2 linked regions of the Coturnix japonica genome follow. Each later gene encodes a partner of the first gene's protein in a complex. Links are inferred from orthologs where the notes say so. Each region holds a gene or a part of one and is shown on either strand. Other genes may lie near its edges.

What was found. Proteins that work in one complex are often made in the same cells at the same time.
Region 2: SPATA5L1 (region 1) and CINP share a complex: the UniProt entries of both Homo sapiens proteins name them as parts of the 55LCC heterohexameric ATPase complex. The link is inferred for Coturnix japonica from reciprocal best matches to the Homo sapiens genes AFG2B and CINP.

The regions. Positions count from the first base shown.
Region 1 is NC_029525.1:9,451,030-9,455,865, reverse strand, and holds the start of SPATA5L1 (spermatogenesis-associated protein 5-like protein 1), read right to left. Parts: upstream 3,518-4,836; 5' UTR 3,469-3,517; coding exon 2,404-3,468; intron 1,902-2,403; coding exon 1,716-1,901; intron 1,062-1,715; coding exon 903-1,061; intron 414-902; coding exon 204-413; intron 1-203. UniProt on the Homo sapiens protein: ATP-dependent chaperone part of the 55LCC heterohexameric ATPase complex which is chromatin-associated and promotes replisome proteostasis to maintain replication fork progression and genome stability.
Region 2 is NC_029520.1:45,118,757-45,123,932, forward strand, and holds the start of CINP (cyclin-dependent kinase 2-interacting protein), read right to left. Parts: upstream 2,994-5,176; 5' UTR 2,876-2,993; coding exon 2,869-2,875; intron 2,736-2,868; coding exon 2,567-2,735; intron 1,745-2,566; coding exon 1,618-1,744; intron 668-1,617; coding exon 538-667; intron 21-537; coding exon 1-20. Other genes in the region: TECPR2 (tectonin beta-propeller repeat-containing protein 2), read left to right, coding at 3,180-3,251. UniProt on the Homo sapiens protein: Component of the DNA replication complex, which interacts with two kinases, CDK2 and CDC7, thereby providing a functional and physical link between CDK2 and CDC7 during firing of the origins of replication.

The sequences.
Region 1 (4,836 bases):
AGAAATATTTTCAAAGCTGAAAACTGGCATCATGTTAGGGCTAGACTTCCTGTCCACACATACAGGAAACCTTAAGTTAGTTATCAATCCTAATCAAATAAGAGTTTTAACTACCATTTTTTCAAGAGAAAAATGCAGACCTGACTTACAAAAAAAATCAAGCAAAAAGAATTTTTACACCTTATACAAATTGGAAACTGTACCTGAGATAAAATCTTCTCTGAATCTCCAACATAAGGTGAGAACAGTTCAGCACCACTTACAGAGAGAAAGGAACAGTGACAACTTGTGGCCACAGCCTTCACCAGTGTGGTTTTGGCACAGCCCGATGGCCCGTAGAGAAGAACACCCTTTGGACGAGACAGGCCCATCCTCACAAATGCCTGAGGAAATTTCATGGGCCACTCCACACTCTGTCAACACATAAACAAGGGATGAAATTCTCGGTGACAGAACTGAAGATCAAAGACAACCAACAAAACAGCGGAGCACAATACTCCAACTCTTTAGTGCATATATTAATTTGAAAGCAACGCATAATGCTAATTTGGTCTTCCTTGGTAGAAAAAACACAAAGCCACCCTTCTGGAGCTTCCCTCTCAGTCTCAAACAGAATAAAAGGCAATTGTTGAATGATATGCAAGAGCCACCTCTGGCTATACATTCAGAAATGGACTGCTGCAGGGTTTACCAGCTACTGGGAAGCAGAATAATTATTTCATTGTGTTATGCTTGCTGCTCCTATCTTGAGATGCTAAATTATTACAGTGCTTGTCATTTAATGTAGTAGAAAATAATACTAAAAATTTGCATGATAAAGCACTTCTGCAACATAACACACAGAACAGTTTGAAGAACAGGCCATCAGAAACTCTCTTGACCTAAACGCATTTACACCTTACCTGTTTTAACTTCAACTTCACATCTTCAAGACCACCAATCTGCTCCCAAGTGACGGGTTTACATTCTTTGAGTCCAATTGCACTTCGAAAAGAGGATGGCTGAATTCTTTTAAAAGCTTCTTGGAAATCTGACATGTTAATCAGCACTTCAGCTGAATCCTGAAGGAAAACACAGTGTATTAGCCACATTTTCACATCATAAATTATAAAGCTTTATTAGCACATAAAACGCTTCACAAAAGGCCAAAGACAGCCATAATCACTAAACTTCCCACCCTAACAAGCTCCAACAGTGTATACACAAAGATGTAACAAGACAGAATATACACTCTTTGTGGCAAGATCTTATAAGGAAAGAACAATTTTATCAGACTTGTGTGTTCGACAGAAAATTACTTTTCTCCCTAAATCACAGCTCCAACTAAGTTAAACAGATGCTAATTCAGGGTTACTACACACGAATTCCCATATTCTTTTAAATAATCAAAAAGGTCCAACATTCATAACCCTCAAGCAGACTGCAAGTTCCAATCTTAAATGACAGATGCAATAACAGAAGTATTGTGATATGCTTTACCAAGGAGCTTGCAGTTCTCGTGGCAAACAGCCCATCTACTTGTTGATTATTTTTATTTGCCCATCTCTGTCTTCCCAGGATACCAGGCTCAAATTATTTCACTATTTTCAATTACATTTACAACACTTTAACTTCTGAATTCCTCATCTTGTTCAGATTTTCAAGTAAAACTAAGTGCTAATGGAGAAAGGGTGTTAGATAATAACCATGACTTTCATCTTTATTTACAACCATACCAAGGAGCTGTGGAACACAGCCTGCATGGCAGCTTCTCTGCAGAGCGCTGTAAGGTCAGCTCCAACGTACCCAGTTGTCATCTCTGCCAGTTTAACCAAATCAATGTCTGCAGAAATGGGCATGCTACAGGTGAGCATCTGCAGGATGGATCTCCTCTGCGTAAGCGTCGGGGTCCCAATAATAACCTGATCCAAAGAAGATGAAATTTTCAATAGTTACTTCACCATATTCCTGTCATTTTGTCAACCTGGCCACGCAAATTTGTCTCCACTTTAAACCAACTACTAAGGATTTATACATACTTACATTACAACCAAAGAATTTAGGAGAAGCTTAATAATAGATTACAGATATTTAAAGCATCTTTAATTTATGCCTACTTTCCAAGTGAATAGTTGTATAATCAGTTGTTCATAAGACACTATGAGTTACTGTCCATCGAATCCTGTTTTAAGGTAATAGAAACATCTGACTTAGCAATTAGGTTATTATTTCATTGTTCTCAAAGGCTGAATTAGATAACAGGTTTATTTAATTGAACACGTTCTGTAAAACACAAGCCAAGAGCAAAAGCATCTTCAAGGTTGACTATGTGAACTGCGGGCTTGTCTTTACTAACCAGCCCCATGACACCTCCCTTAAACAGGAAGAAAAGAGGACTGAGCACGGACAGCAATGTCTGCTTACTTCTCTGTCAAACCTGCCTGGTCTTCTCAGTGCGGGATCCAAGGCGTCAGGCCTGTTTGTCGCTGCCACAACGACCATCCTGTCCTTACGACCGACACCATCCAGCAGCGTTAGCAGCTGAGCCACAAGGCGATCCTCAGGAGCGCTGTTGGAACTCCCTCGTTTTGGGCACAAAGCGTCGATCTCATCAATAAACAGAAGCGTGGGCCCTTCCCAGGACATCTCCCTGCCCTTCTCAAAGACACGTCGCAAATTCTCTTCGCTTTCCCCCGGCCTGGAGCCGCACAGCGCCGGGCCGCTGATGCACAGCAGATCCGCACCCACATCTCTCGCCACCGCCTTCACCAGGAGCGTTTTCCCCACGCCTGGAGGGCCCACCAGCAGCACCCCATTGGGGACGGGAAGCCCCAACTTGTTAAACGTCCTTGGGAAGCGGAACGGCAGGTCCACCATTTCTATCAGAGACTCCCTCACATCGTCCAGCCCAGCCACAGGAATTTTTGCTGTCTCTTCCGTTAAGAGCCTGTACCGTTCTAACGCCATCACCTCTTTAATCGTTACATTTGTCTGCGAGGTTATCAGCCCGGCCTCCTCAGTCGCGGGCTCTACAGACAGGATCTCTATGTGCACCACGGGAGTGCGGACATTAGGGCCGACGGTAACAACGTAGTGAGGGGAGACGTAGAGGTTGCTCAGCAGGTCCCGCACCGCCTCCTGCAGCCCCGCAGCCCGCCTGGCTGCCCCGCCCCGCAGCACCACACGCACCGCAGCTCCCCGCAGGCGGCGGGCGGACAGCGGCTGGAAGCAGCCGGGGCTCAGCGACAGCTCGCGCAGCGCTGCCAATGTCAGCCCGGTGCTACAGGCCGGGTCCGCCTGCACGTACCCGTCCGCCAGGTCCGGCCGCGGCCACGCGGTGCACAGACAGCACCCGGATGGCAGCGAGATCCGCAGCGGAGCGCCCAGCACGACCCCGAGGGACGAGAGGGCGGCGGGGCCCAGCCGGCACCGCTGCGTGCCCTCATCCCTCGGGTCCGGAGGGAGCAGCCTGAGGGACACGGGATCCATGGCGGCACGAGCACGCGCCAACAACCGCCACGAAGGGCGCAGCCGCGGCCCCGCCTCCCAGCACACAGAGTCACAGAGTGACCCGGGTTGGAAGGGACCTCAAGGATCATGTAGTTCCAACCCCCTGCCCGGCAGGGCCACCAAACATACACCTTTACTAGATCAGGTTGCCCAGGGCCCCGTCCAACCTGGCCTTGAGCACCTCCAAGGACGGGGCATCCACAACCAACCCTCGCACCTCCCCGCCTCCCCTCACACATCCCCGCCTCCACGGAGCACTTGGGAGCCGCCTCCTTCCCGAGAGCCCTGCCCGGCGTTACCTTCACAGTAGCGTACGAACCTGCTGGGCTGAGAGAGAAAAGCATCATCGCCAGTGAAATCTGCAGTGTGCGTGATTTCAGTCCAGCGAGTAGCTTAATTGTGAGTAAAGTAATACGCACAGACTCCAATTGAGACCCCACACACTGTGATCACACGGGGCAGGGAGGGATGCCCTGCAGGACAGGGCTGTCAAGGTGTGTTCCGAAGGCTCCTGCAGAAAAGCATAAGGAAATCCTTCTGACGGTGTCCTTTACCATGGCCCTGTGTGAGCCAGTACAGAACAGTAACCAGTACAAACAAAAAGAGGCAATCTGAATGTTGTTAGCTCAGCTAGTTCTAAATACTTCATAGGAACTCATTATAAGGAAGCAGAGCCCAGAAATCATTAATACAGCTTTTTGAAAGTGTGAAAAATCGCCTTGTTTTGTTTTGTTCTGGTAGGATGAAAACCTTATTTAAGAATTTTTATGGGATGCACTGCTGAGTGGCTGCCCTGGATTGGAATGTGTACCTTTGAGTAGCCATCGCTCCCAGAACTTTTACACACCCCAAATTCACTCCTGACAAACAGATCTACCACCAAAAATCTAGTTTAAACTGTCAGTCACCCCCCAAAATCAACAAGAAGACCAAAAGCAAAACAAAACCCAACACGATTTTCACGACATTCACTAGATGGCAGCTGATCTTCAAGAATGACTCGTTTCTCCTTGCAGATCCAACAGATCCAAGGGAGCAGTCATCAGCAATTAGAGAAATCGAATGCTGCCCATCATTGTCTTTGCTGTGTTTCAAATATCACACTGAAAATCCAGAACAGTGAGTGTTCAGATCATTTCCATCTTCATTTCCCTGTTTTTCTTTTAATGTTCAGTTTCTTTCTGCTAATTTATGGGGAGGAGTGTTCCCTTATTGTTTGCTTTCATACTTCATGGAGCTTCTCTGGCAAAATGTAAATGCTATATTGTACCTATGCCAGATATTGCACATTTAAAACACCACGTTCCATTATAATAGAACTTCATGGATAAATTGTAAAGATACTCC
Region 2 (5,176 bases), on another chromosome or scaffold:
GAGCTTCAGAGAAACCTCATCTGAAATGGATTGATAGTAACAAAAGACAGAAACTGAACATTCTTTATTTATCTTGACTGACACTGTGATAAGAGCTACTTTTCTTTGTGTGCCTCAGAATTAACTGAGGAATATCTCATTCTTCGCATTCAAGGATTTCATTTCAGCATCAAGTAACAGGTCAGACTGTAGCCAACAGCTTAACATTACCAAACTGCAAAATTGTCTGTCTCTACAAAAGATGTGGCTGTTGCAGCTTGGGCATTGGAAACTGCTGACAAGCTCGGTTCTAAGCTACTGTCTGGCTGTTGCATGCCAGACAATGCTTGTCAATTCATACAAGCAGTCATCAGCAGTAATCCTAAACCAAGTAATGCACCCGTGTGTTTATTGATCAGTCAGTTATAAAGAAGACTGATTCACACACTTTCTCTTCCTAAGGGAGGATAAACAGATATAAAACAGATATGAAAGTCCTAAGTTGGATGACTTCAACGACAAAGTGCATTTATCTAAAATGATCAATAATTTACTTACAGAAGTACACTGTGGGCCATGAGTGAAACAGGGGTGCTGTACAACCCCCAGCTCCATGGTGGTACTCTTCCAAGTCACAGACTCCTTTGGTAGTTGAAGAGAGCTTTTCCATTTTCAGCTGTATTTTTGTCTGGAAACAATGAACACATAAAGCTAATGAGTACCTCGGGAATGTTAAGCCATGATAGTCTTCAGCATTTTTTAAACACTTTCTGAAGACTTTAGTTAGTCTTAGCATTTCTAATTCACTTTTTTTTTTAACTCCAGATAGGACTCAAAACTGGAACTTATATAGAGAATTAATGATTTACCCTAAAATTTCAGGTGCTGCAGATAATTACTGATTCTGATTTTGCATAAAAAGGGAAGCACCCAAATAACTCTTGCTTTTTCCCACAGAACACAATCTGAGGAAAATCTAAGTGCTCCTGCTTATTCTAAATACTGGTCTGGTAGCCTGTCTGTATAAAATCCTATCTATTATCTTTTTAATGATCCTCCGAAACAGCTAAAGGCTGTAAAAGTCTAATGTCGCTGAAATGTGACATTAATTCCTGACAATTTATCCAGAAAAGTGGGCAGAATAATTATCTTTCTCTGCTCCTCATAGAAAGTATGAGCTCTGCACAGAAAGTAGAAGTAGGCAGACTGGAAGTGTAATTGCATGAGGGCTGAGCAAAGCTGCAATGGATATCATGGCAGATAAAGCATTACTGTACTTTAAGTTGGTGTTTACTTTGTTCTAAACAGGGGATATTTGGGATAAGAAAACAAACATCAGTGAGTGCGTTTTTAGAATGGATTATTATATGACTTGTTTTCAGAGGATCACATTATAAGTAACATTAGAAGTGGAGAGTAGAATTATGAGCAGAAGCTAGATATATATAAACAGCTTTCAAACCTATCAAGAAAGCAAACAAATGGAGCATGCTGGATTTACATCATAAAGGTCTAAAGGCAATGAAGTATGAATGAACATCCCTGATTTTAAGCTTGCAACAGATCCTTAACATCATGTTCTTATGTTGTACTTGAAAACTCTTGATATTGCTTCTAGGACTGAAAAAGGAATGTTACCATTTTTTTTAAGGTCTCCAGTAATTCTGTGCAGCAATTGTCCAGTTCTTTGTTGTACTTTGGAGACGGCTTTTCAGATTCTGTGGTACTGTTATCACAGGTTATCTCCAGTTTGTTATCTTGAAATCTAAAACAGAAACATAAGGCAGGCATACAGGTTTACTCAAGCTGTGCAGACTTAAAGTCCGTGTGATCTGATCCCACAGAATCTCTCAGAGGCTGCTCATGAGAATTCCTACATAAAACCAGAAAGGAACGCAGCTAACCATATCAGCAATAAAGGCTGGTAACCTTCAGAAGAACGTGGGGTGTCTCTATGTTACAGTCTGTGCTCATAAAAAACCCAAAACACTCACAAACGTTAAGATAAAACCTTTTCCCACTTTACGTTGTCCCTGACAAGGGGGAATGTATGCCAGGCTTCAACCGGCCCAGCCAGGCCTGATGCCTCCCCACAGCCACTTTCACTGTCAGTTTGATCTAAGATTTAACTATGAACCAGAGCAGCTACTGAGCAGGCATGTGTCTTGTCTTGCTGATTCTCCCACTTCTTGCCTTTCATTCCTGTAAACATTGACAGAGAAGAGGGAGGTGCTAGAGAGAGAAAGCAACATCTGACACCTCCACAGCAAAATATTCCCGAGCCTTATGTGATAGAACTGTCAAACAAACTCTGTTCACCTGACAGACTCTTCAGAAGCTACTTCTCAAAACCCTGCCTGTTGTAAGGTTTTTCTTCACAGCATGATAACACTATTCTACCACAATTATTTTATTGTTTTGGGTTTGTTTTGTTGTTTTTGTTTTTTTTTTCCCAAATCATCACTGCTATAGCTTCTTCTGTCCACATAAAACTCCAAAAAATCGTTATTGTGAAGAGAACAGAGTAATTCCTCAGAAAGGCAATCCTCATGCTGTCTTCACTTGTATATGTTATTAGCGTACTTACTGCTCACTGATCTTCATGTTGACTATTTTGTTTGCAGTAGTAAACCCATTATCATTCAGTCTCTCCCATTTCATCATCAAGTTATGCCAGTCTGCTGCATTATCTTTAATTTTTCTTGCACTGGCAGATAGGACAGGTCTTCTCGGAGTACCATCAGCAAGACTTCCTGCTATGTACGACAAAAACAGCAAGTTCAGTGAAAACATAGAGAAACAAGTCATTGTGGCTGAGATAAAGGCTCGGCCATCCCGCTCCGGCTCCATGCAGGCGTTGCCTACAGCACCGGCCCGCTCCTCACTCACCCGCCATAGCGGCGCCCGCGGAAGTGCGCTCACGTCCGGCCCCGCCCAGGCCCGGCCCCGCCGAGCCGCTGAGGCAGCGGGGCAGCCGCCGGTGCGTGGGGGTCCGGGTGTTGTTGCGTCCTCTCTCTCCCGTCCGTCGGCAGCCATGACCGCCCTCGGCTCTTGACGCGGTAAGAGCTGCCGCGTCTCCGTGCAGCCTCCGTCCTCGGCGGTCTGTAGCCGCGGTGGAGCGGCCGACAGCGATGGTGCGGCCGGGAAAGCTTCTCCGCCTCCTGCTGCTGCTTGTGGGGAGGAACGCGGAGGAGCGCCGGATGGAAGCTGGTTTCCAGGGGAGGAGGATGCGGTGGGCGCTATGCCGGGCTGAGGGAACTCGGGGCTCGGAGGTGAAAGTTCGCACCTGTGTGTGTGTGGGCTGCAGCCTGGGTCGGCCTTTCCGCAGTCCCTGTCGGAATTCTTTCTTGTTTGTTTGTTTTTACCCTCTGCTTTGTGAAAAGACGCCCAAAATGCAGCGTTTCGTGGGTAGCTCGGAGCCGCTCGTGCGTTAATTTGGGGGTAACTACCTGAAAACGTGAGAAGAGTTGGGAAATAAAAAGCGTTTGTAGCTGGCAGGATGTGGCCGAGGTCAGAATTTGTCCCTCTCCAAAGGGCCTGAACGTAAGGATTTATTCCCATGGAAGAGCTGAACAACAGAGCTGTGCAGGGAGGATGCCTGGGTAAGAAAAGCAGCGACAGCTTTGGCCTCTTGTGCTGAGTCTGTGACATACGCTGGAGCTGGAGCCAACGGAGCGTCTGTCTGAGCACAGGATTATCCCCCACATTGGCCGTCCCTGTGCTGAGCCCTCTGCAAGGAGTTCAGCTCTGCAGCAACAGCTCTGCTTTCCAAATACTTCATTTAACACGATTCCTAAGTGCTGTCTGCGAGTTGTAAAGGGAGGACTCTGATCTGGTGTTCCATGGGCAGCATCAGGTGTTGCCTGCAATCCTTAGTGCTTGTTCCAAGTGGCTGCTGACACCTGTCTGCAGGGACAGCCCTCTGCTCGCCTTTGGTTAACAAAGATTAAATAGGGTCCTAATGATAAATAGAAGACTATATGTGATGTGTGAGTGTAATTAGAAATTGAAGACCGTGCAGGAAAATGATTGCGTTTACACAAAGTGCCAGAGCATCTTAGTATGGTGAGGGACTGATATCAGCTGAAAAGAGGAGTTAAAGAAACAAACACGGAGCTCATGAAGCAGTAACTGGGGAGTTTATGGCAGTTTATGTTAGAGGAAGTTTTGTGTGGGGGGGACTCTGCACCAAGTTTGGGTTTCAGTTAGGAATAACAGTCAAGCAGGAGGCATTAAAATTGCATAACCAGCAAAGCAGTGTGGATAGGGGAGCAAGCAGGAGACTTCAGCTGTAGGTGTTGTTGGTGTTTAGTTGGCTGTATGGATAGAAGGTAGAAAATGCCACGAGAAAGGAGTTCTAAAATGCAGATAGGAAGGAGATGTGTGAAAATATAAAGGAGTGGTGATGTGCTCAGGTTGTTTGTAACTCAGTGCCATGAAGAACTCTTGCCTGAGAAGTAGTTTGGTCACATTCATCTGCTAATCCATGTGATATGTTATGAAATAGGTGTTGTGACTGTTGTAAACAGTGTCAGAGTGGGATTATTTTCTATCAAGCAGTGCAGCTTATCACAGTTATTAATTACCACATCTGATAATTGTTGCTGGCTTTTTCAGTGGCTGTTGGTTTGGCTTTTTGTGACTGAGAACGCAGGAGTCCAGGCACAGCTCTTTATTCCTGCTGCCTTGTAATGCGGGCTTGAATGGGCAATGCATCATAAGTAATCCCTTGGATTTGGTGGAATTGCGTGTTGACAGCAAGTGTTGCAGGGCACGGAGCCAGCACGGTGAATCTTCCTGCACTGTAAGAGACAGAGCTTGAAAACTGAGACATCAGAGCTTTTCACAGTAATGGAGGCATTAAACGAGCACAGCAGTGTTATTTCTAATTTAGTTGAGATACACTGTAAGCAGTGTGTGAAGCTGTGAAACAAATACCATTTTTATCCTTACAGAAATACTAACTAGGCAAAATAGGGCATGTTTCTCAGAACAACTGAGTTCAAGTTACTGTATCTTCTCAACTTTGATAAGCTTGTAGCTGCAAGGAAAAAAGCTTATCCCAGAATTAGCGGTTACCACGCATCCTTAGATTAATGAACTGAGAAAACAGGCTTATTCTGATGGATGCGATTATTCTAAGAGCAGCTTACGTCCCCTAGAAGAGTTCAGCTTTTGGGTTTTTTATACCAAACGA